2 linked regions of the Saccharomyces cerevisiae S288C genome follow. The protein of the gene in region 1 interacts with the protein of each later gene in a biochemical or structural test. Each region holds a gene or a part of one and is shown on either strand. Other genes may lie near its edges.

Region 1 (5,533 bases):
AATCCTTGCGTTTCAGCTTCCACTAATTTAGATGACTATTTCTCATCATTTGCGTCATCTTCTAACACCGTATATGATAATATACTAGTAATGTAAATACTAGTTAGTAGATGATAGTTGATTTCTATTCCAACAGTACTAAAGAGGAAATATTTTAGGGTTCCATTCCAACAATTTACGTGTTTTTTCAGAATAATTAATTTAAATTGCAGATTTTATTGGAACAGTTGAGTTGAGTTTTTATGATGTTTTTATACACCATTAGTTCATCTTTTTATTAAATAATTTTAATAATTTGTTATCCGATATAGTGTAACGGCTATCACATCACGCTTTCACCGTGGAGACCGGGGTTCGACTCCCCGTATCGGAGTTTTTTTTTTCTGCTATTACAATTAAAGATTTTTTCAACTATATCTGAGATTGTTGACCGGTCCAAATATTTAATAAATTACCATTTTATTTTTTTCAAAAAATAGTTACATATATACATTTATTAATTATATAACGGTGTTACATCGTATTGTCCATTTGGGGATCGATTATCCCTCCCTTTTTTTTATTTGTCCAAAACACCTTCTTTTTGTAAAATAATTTGGATTTCTGTAGCAAGCTTGGTCAGCGTTTTAGTAGATCCTGTTTTCTTATTGAATTTAATTAAACTTCTACCGTCTCCATTTGGTAAAACCATTATTTCAAAAAGCGTAGATCGTAAAAATAAAATACTGTCATTCACCAATTTTCCTGTTATGATCATATTAGTGATGTTAAACACCAGGTTTTTCAACCCGTATTGCTTCCAGCCTTCTAGTAGTTTATGTAGGCCCTCGTATAGTCTCTTTTCAGGTATTTTGGCATGTATTTCAAGTTCTAAGATTTTACCTTTTGAGAATTTTTTCAAGAGTACGCTGTTAGGTGGCTTTTTTACTGTAGTAGGGGCATTCACTGTGTCGTTATCTTTCTTGTCATTATCTTCCTTCAAGTCATCGTCTGACAGGGAAGCAGCGATTTTCTCACTCTCAGTCCCTTTTTCCGCCCCATCCTCTATGTTTTCTCCGACGCTGCTGTTATTACTTGTAAGGCTCGGTAAGGTTACCTTAGAAGGCTCTCTTTGGTATAGGCCCAACCCACTGGCGTTTTTTCCTTGGAAAGAACTCAAAGACGGAAGTTTCACTACCAGTGTGGGCTCTGCGCTTTTTGATATTGGAGATTGGTTTGGATTTTTATCCTTCATGTCGTATTCCTGTGATATGCCAACGCCTTGAGGAAAGTCGCTCAATATATTATCATTATTCACATTATCACCATCCTTACTATCATCCTCATCATATTGTATATTCCTTGAATCAGTGATACTCTCGGCTATTTCGGGATCTTCGCTCCTACTTTCGTTATCAGTGCTTCCTTGTGGAGGCAAATCAGGATCTTCCTTTATTAAAAATTCGTTTAAGTCTTTGATTGAATCCTTCGCATACAAAGATAAGACTGAGCGCCGATTATTAGCAGTAGTAAAGTGTTTTGATTTCCTCGTGAAATGTGGGACTTCCACATCGGATATCCTACGAGGTTCCATTCGATCATTATATATTAGTGGTGTGGTTGAAACTATGGGAGACTCTTCGATAGGTGCCAGTTCACTTTTCCCTGGCGATAGTCCCCCTCTAACATTTAGTAGCGATCCTAAAAATTTGGATCTGCGTATCGTTTCTATTATTTTCTTTTCAGTATCCTGCAGCAGAGCTGTTTTTTCTTTTAGGTTGTTAGGAAGTGTCTCAGTAACAGGCGTTAATCCGGGATCCAGTCTCGAAATAGGCCTAGTATATGACGAAAGTTGATAACGATTCGTTAGTAAGGTGTCTATATCTTGCAATAGTTCTTGTTGCGAAAATTCGTAATTTATCAACGGGGACGACACTTTGTCATTTATTTTTTTCAGCTCTTTCATTCCATCAGAAACTTCGGATCCAAACTCGTCCTCATTAATCTTCTGTGCATTCACTGATTGCCTTTTTGCTTCCTGAACTTTTCTTTGAAGTTCAGCCTTTTCTCTTTTCGCCAATTCAAATTTCTCAGGCTCAAATATTTCATCAATCAGTGTAGCGAAGTTGGAACTTGTTCTCTTTGCATCCTTTTCAATGTACTCCCAATCATCATCATCTATTAGGTTAGTAAAGTTTGATAATGATTTTGATGTTAGTGAGCTTCTTTTTGTATTAGGCATATAAGATAATCTTTTGCTTGACCGTTTTTTTGAGTTCCTCTTGTGAGGATTCGGGACACCACTTGGCGTTGCTTGGGTATTTGCAGACGCTACGTTAATATGTGTAATTCTTTTACTACTTCTCAAAGGTATTGGAGAACTATCGGTAGGATTCGAGGACAGTAAAAAGGACGATCTCTTCCTGCTAGAAGAGAATTCCCTGGAATGCCTCTTGGATGTACGTCTGCGTGGCGTAGATTGTATGCTTCGGTTGTTCAATAATAATGATGACGATGACGAAAGTGTGCTAGATCTTTTATTTTTTTTGGTTTTCTTTATCTTATTGCGGTTCTTCTTATTCGATCCCCTTACAGAGTCCAGTTTGAAACGGTATAGTAGCGCATATAGAATTTTTTCTTTGTTGGTTCCATTCTCTTTCAGTTTAGATACGATGTCATCGGCGTGTCTACCATGCCAAAGTACCACCAAGTTTTGTAGGATTGAATCATCGATAGAGGCGCTAGTATGGTTGTTCGAGTCAGCCAGTGGATATAGATAGGTATTTTCACGAGGTAAATCTTTGATACTTTTGGAATCCTTAATGGTTTGATATTTTTTTAGCAGTGGATGACTAAGGATGTCTCTGATTTTTATTCTTTGCCTGGGATCTACAACGAGAATCTTGCCGATTAAATCTTGTGCATCTCTGGAAATTTCGGTGTCATTGGGCATTTCAAACTGGCCCTTTTGGACTTTCAATAACAAATCCCTAACATTACCGTTTTCTTCATCGAAGGGTAGTCTACCCGTTAAAAGGGCAAAGAGGATTACACCGCAAGACCAAACGTCGCTGGCAAATCCTTCATAGGGCAGACCTGATACGATCTCAGGAGCGGCATAATGAGGAGACCCACAAGAAGTTTCTAGCAGGTCGGCGTCTGTCTGTAAAGCTGCCATACCAAAATCCGCAATTTTGATATTATAGAAACTATCGAGCAAAAGATTTTCTGGCTTTAAATCCCGATGTACTATTCCTAGCGCATGGCAGTATGAAATGCCTATAATTATCTGTCTGAAGCAATTGATGGCCTCACGCTCGGGCAAGGGACCGTGGTCCACAAGCAAGTTGAACAGTTCTCCCTTTTCGGCGTATTCCAGGATAAGGTACAGGTTATTGTTGGTTTCCCAAACGTCGTAAAGACTCAGAACGTTTGGGTGGCTCAAAAGTTTCATAATAACAATCTCACGCTCGATGTTGTATGGCAGCACTGAATCGTCGTTACTGTGGTTTCCGTTGTTGTTGAAAATGGACTTTGAGATTACTTTGACGGCTGTTCTATGGCCCGTGCGCTCATGTTGCGCAAGTTGGACCTTGCCGGTGCTACCAAAGCCCAGTGTTTCACCAAGCTTCCATGGGCCTATAGTACTCGATGGTTTAGCAGCAGAATGGGTCTCGGTATTCGCCACAGTCATACTGCAGTAGTTCTGGTAATTTACGTCAGCACTATTATCAAGCCTATACACGTTTATTGCACACTCTATTATGCTATTCTACGCTGTTGTATCCAAATTTACATCTTCTTTTTTAGTTTTCATGTAGTTTTCAAGAGAGCCCTTTTACTAAGACTGCGTTACGCGTTTTCTTGCACAGCACGCGAAAAAAAGAACGAGATGTTTTCCTTTTAAGGAAAACATATTAGCATAAATCGTCATTGCTGAAAGAGCGCCTTTACCTCAACCTACCATGGCAAACATAACAGAAAACATAAAAAAATTATCCTAGAGCCCAATGTTCCATGAAAAGAGCTGTGGCAAGGACAGAAACAAAAAAAAAATCAAGAACTCAACATTACCTATATAATTTTTGTTTTCTCCCATTTTCAAAGTCATTTGTTTTCCATTTTGCAAAGCAATTATTATATCAATAAGCCTTTTGATGACTTTACCTAGCACTCTTTCAAATAGAATCTTCTTACGAAGGTGTGCATTCTCCCTTTTATACCTCGGCGGCTTCACTCGGCGGCTAACCCCTTATTTCCTCATTTCCTCGGCGGCTAAAAAGGGACTTTGGAGAAATCTTGCATCCGTGCCTCCCACGGCATTTTTTTTTGGTTTCTTTTTTTCCTTGACCGGCATAATAGAAGAAAAAAAAAAGCGCGCCGTTCTTCAGTGCCGCTTGAGGGTGCCGTCTAAGCGGCACTGATCTGCTGCAAAAAGCTGCAACTTTGCCGTTGATGGCACTCCCAGTGGCACCATCGCACTAAATAACGGTCTCATCGAGTCATAGATAAGCAGGTTGCAGTATCCGGCCAACTTTCAACTCCCCCACGTCCAGCGGATTGCTGCTCCTTAGTAGTCCACAGTTCTTAAGTTGCGCTGCGAGGCTCTTTTTTTAGTGCCTTCTAGCCATTTCTTCCAGCTTGGCAGTGGTTATCTCTTTCACTGAACCGCAAATCAATCCTGATAAGACGGCTAAGATGCATAGGATAGGTCGGCTATACGTGTGTCTTGCGCTATCTTCCCCTCGTCCGCTAACAAGACTCATATCCTTCGTGATTAGTTTCTTTTTGTTATTTTCCTCGTAATACTCATTTGTTTTACATACATATATAAGTGCTTTGTCTTTGATGGTCTGCCCACAACAATGTAGAACAAGTTTATTATGTAATCTTTATAGAAGAAGCACGCTAATATAGACAAAGATAGCTTCGCACAATGTCGTCGTCGAAGTCTCTATACGAACTGAAAGACTTGAAAAATAGCTCCACAGAAATACATGCCACGGGGCAGGATAATGAAATTGAATATTTCGAAACAGGCTCCAATGACCGTCCATCCTCACAACCTCATTTAGGTTACGAACAGCATAACACTTCTGCCGTGCGTAGGTTTTTCGACTCCTTTAAAAGAGCGGATCAGGGTCCACAGGATGAAGTAGAAGCAACACAAATGAACGATCTTACGTCGGCTATCTCACCTTCTTCTAGACAGGCTCAAGAACTAGAAAAAAATGAAAGTTCGGACAACATAGGCGCTAATACAGGTCATAAGTCGGACTCGCTGAAGAAAACCATTCAGCCTAGACATGTTCTGATGATTGCGTTGGGTACGGGTATCGGTACTGGGTTATTGGTCGGTAACGGTACCGCGTTGGTTCATGCGGGTCCAGCTGGACTACTTATTGGTTACGCTATTATGGGTTCTATCTTGTACTGTATTATTCAAGCATGTGGTGAAATGGCGCTAGTGTATAGTAACTTGACTGGTGGCTACAATGCATACCCCAGTTTCCTTGTGGATGATGGTTTTGGGTTTGCAGTCGCTTGGGTTTAT
Region 2 (3,426 bases), on another chromosome or scaffold:
ATTCACTTGGCCTTACTGGCAATCATAATCATTTTGACGAACTGCGGACATCGAGAGTACCCTGCAAATATATCTAGAAAAAGAGGTAAAAAAATATTGAAGGGTCAACCTGAAAAAAATTGAAAAGTGAAAATAGATCTGCTGATAAATAATGCACGGCTTGCATCAAGTGATCACATGGAACTTTCCCAATACCTCAACTACGCATTTTCCCTTGCATATTATATCATCATCCATCTTCTTTGCCTCTCATATATTTACGAAATAATACATAAACATAAAAACGTCTTTGTGCGTCCAAGTAAACTTGAAGACGCACTCCCGTTATATAAAACTGGGAAGAACACTAACAAAGAAGGTGACTTGCGCTTAATTAGTTTTATTCCCTTGCTTCTAAAGTCCGTAAAACATTCTATTAGAGTCTATACATAGTTTTGCCTTACCTTTGAATATGAGTTCTAAAAATTCCATTGCAATAAAGCTTTCCGTTCCTATTGTTTCTATGTAGTGTTTAAGACTTTGTTTCTTTTCCTTTCATGGCTTTTCAAATGTCTCAGCATATTGCTTTTCACATTGAAGGATTTTGTGCAACCCTCCCAAGTACATTTGAAAGGAGTATCTCCCGTATGAATTAAGTAATGTGTCTTCAGCGTTGAGGGCCTCGAACAAATTTTTCCACATACTGGGCACTGCTTTCTCAGCTTTGTGGATGATATTCGGGTGTCAGTTTTCCAATCAGAAAATGTTGCTGAACCGTTCAACACGGCACCAGGTTCGCTTTTTGTTCTGCCGTTACTGGCTTCCTGCATGGTTGGAAGTACGCCATACCCAGGTGGGACTGATTTTGGCCTATCGTGGCATAGCTCTAAGGCAGCGTTTGGGTGACTCGCCATTGATATTGCAGTGAAGTTAGGTTCGGAGGCAATTGTTATTGGTTCTTTGTCGTATGGTGTCAATGGTTTATATACTGTTGGGACCATGACTGGCATCATCAAGGGAGCAGAGGAGGTCAAATGAGGAGACTGGCTATGTGGTATTGGTTGCTGACTTTCCGTATAGTAGATAGGATATTGATCAGATGTTGCGTTCATGGAAATTGGGGTGTAGATCTCATTAACAATGGGTACAACATTCATGCTTTGATAAACTTGCTGTGGAGGGAATTGAACCCTTGAATCTACGTTAGGTGGTGTATTATTTTCAAAATTAGGCAAAAGGGATGAAATTGGTGGTAAGTTTATTTTCGTACTATTATAACATTCCCGTTCATTTTTGTAGCTATTGTGGCCATAAAATTGAGTCCCCTTACCAGTGCTCAGCTGATCAACTGCGGACACTTGAAGGGGGAGGTTCGATTTATAATTGACTGTACACATTCCTATATTAGGAGATCTTGACTTGTCTGTATATGATGATTGTTTTTCTGAACTTTGCTTTGAAAGGGAAAAATTCATGTAATTTACTTTAGTGGCGTTTACTGCTATTTTTCGAAGGTAGGTGATGAACTTGTGTTATAACTAAGAAGCTCAAAACTAAAAGTATACTAATGTTTGAGGAATTATTGTGAAGCCATAGAACAATAAAAAGCTAACAATTGTATCTTTCGTTCAACTTGTCAAACCCTGACAGGCATATAAAAGAGGTATTTTGAAACATCAACATGTAGTAGTCACATATATAGCAAAATAGTAAGTAAGGAAAAAAAGAAGGCACAGAGAATACAACAATAATGATGAAGGCACACGACTGCCCTTTCCGGGCCACCTGCAGATCTGTAAGGTAGTTCAAATGACGTTCTCGCGCGGGTTTCTTACTTATGAAACTTTAGGGACATAAGTCGGGAACCTGATGCATCATTCTTTATCTTGTTTTTTGTTGTTGTTTGAGTTTCTTGTACAGAATAATACGCAGAATTAAAGCGGAAGTTAAAAAACAGATCGTCTTGATCTGCCCTCAAAACCAGTATCCACTGAAAACCTTATTTCCCACCGTAAATGGCAATCACTCGTAGCTCAAGGTGGAATGCTCCCGTAAGGATATTTCCTATATGAGATAGTCCCGATCCTGAGAAGAGGGATCGCCGTCATTTTATTCTTTAACCCCGAGAAACGGCATCTCTCACCTGATTGTTCTCAAGATTGCTGCAAAACCCAGATATACTTTTAGGTACGGAGCGTACGCGATGTATATGGATTGATTTTCACATGTATCGTTTATGAGTACTTGACTGCACCTCGTGTCGGAAGATTTTCCAATCGGGCTTTTTTTCAATCTTGAAGGCCCTCCTTTTCATTTCCATTTGCTCTGACATTGCGGCTATGCATCACAGGCAAAAGCTGAAAAGGAAATTTTGTAGCGTATCGGTTTACTGCACAGTCTCAGACCCTTTGTAGTACTGTTACCTGGAAGAATAGTAGGTGCGTACAACAGTGATTATGTAGTAGTATCTACTGAAGAGCCTACGAGCGAAAAAAAAAAAAATTATCGGCTACATTACGTTGTTTCCTACGGAGACAAGAACCAATATAAGCTGCAAAAAATCTATGAGCATTTTAAGTTTCCGATACAACAAGATGTATGCGTACTATTCACGTCGTGTTATATTGCTCACGTAACAACTTCTATGACAATAATAAAAAATAACCTTTCCATTGTATCATTAAGGTTATCTACGGAGGATTGTCAAACCTAGCGGATATGAAATGTACTTGATTCCTAATTCGGGTTTATTTAGAGTTCAGACTATGTGGGTCATTTCTTATGCTAATAATAGGCACTGAGGTAAGTCAAAATAGCGACACTCAATTACTGTTGAATGGGAAGAAAAAACCGAGAAAGGGATACAGAGATCTTGCCCACGCCTTTTTTTCAAAAAGAGCCCTTCGCAAGGTTGCTCAACGGGATTGTCATAGAAAGAAAAAATCAAAGCCAATAACTACAAGGCCAAAAGTAATGGTAGGGAGCTACTACAAAGTGGGCTCAGCCTACCTGAAGAAAATAAACAATTAATGGACAAGATCTGTTAGCGGACATACAAGAGATCAAATTACCTTCTGGTTAATGCTGTAGGCGAAGCAAACCATTCAATTGAGGAAACCTTATTCCCAATTGCGCTTTTGCTCCCTGGAAGCCTATAACAGCGTGTGGGCAAATAAAGTTGTTTTTCGCCCTCAGCGACTTTACTTCGGAAACTGAAGAGCGGCTAGAAATTTCGCAGAAAAGATTTTCCTTTGAGGATAGAAAAATGAAAAAAAGAAATTTATCTTTTTTCACAACAGGTGCTGCTTTTTCCTCACGTATGCACAGAATGCAAAGTACAAGATTTGTAATACGCGACTCCGCGCAGCTGTACTCTACTCCCAAGTCAGCGGAAAAAATGCAAGACATACAGAAAGTTGCCGCTTTATTGGCTATTTTTTTGGGCGA

Evidence for each region. The genes of interacting proteins can lie anywhere in the genome.
Region 2: of the proteins of KCC4 (region 1) and CMR3, one has a biochemical effect on the other in vitro, tested with the Saccharomyces cerevisiae proteins (one large-scale study listed by BioGRID).

Annotation. Positions count from the first base shown.
Region 1 is NC_001135.5:77,302-82,834, reverse strand, and holds KCC4 (serine/threonine protein kinase), read right to left. Parts: upstream 3,674-5,533; coding exon 560-3,673; downstream 1-559. Other genes in the region: amino acid transporter AGP1, read left to right, coding at 4,916-5,533. UniProt on the Saccharomyces cerevisiae protein: Involved in regulation of bud growth during cell cycle and in septin organization. Plays a role in cell wall synthesis.
Region 2 is NC_001148.4:584,132-587,557, forward strand, and holds CMR3 (Cmr3p), read right to left. Parts: upstream 1,455-3,426; coding exon 501-1,454; downstream 1-500. Other genes in the region: YPR014C (uncharacterized protein), read right to left, coding at 3,058-3,387. UniProt on the Saccharomyces cerevisiae protein: Probable transcription factor involved in the regulation of the transcription of genes involved in cell rescue and defense, as well as cell cycle and DNA processing.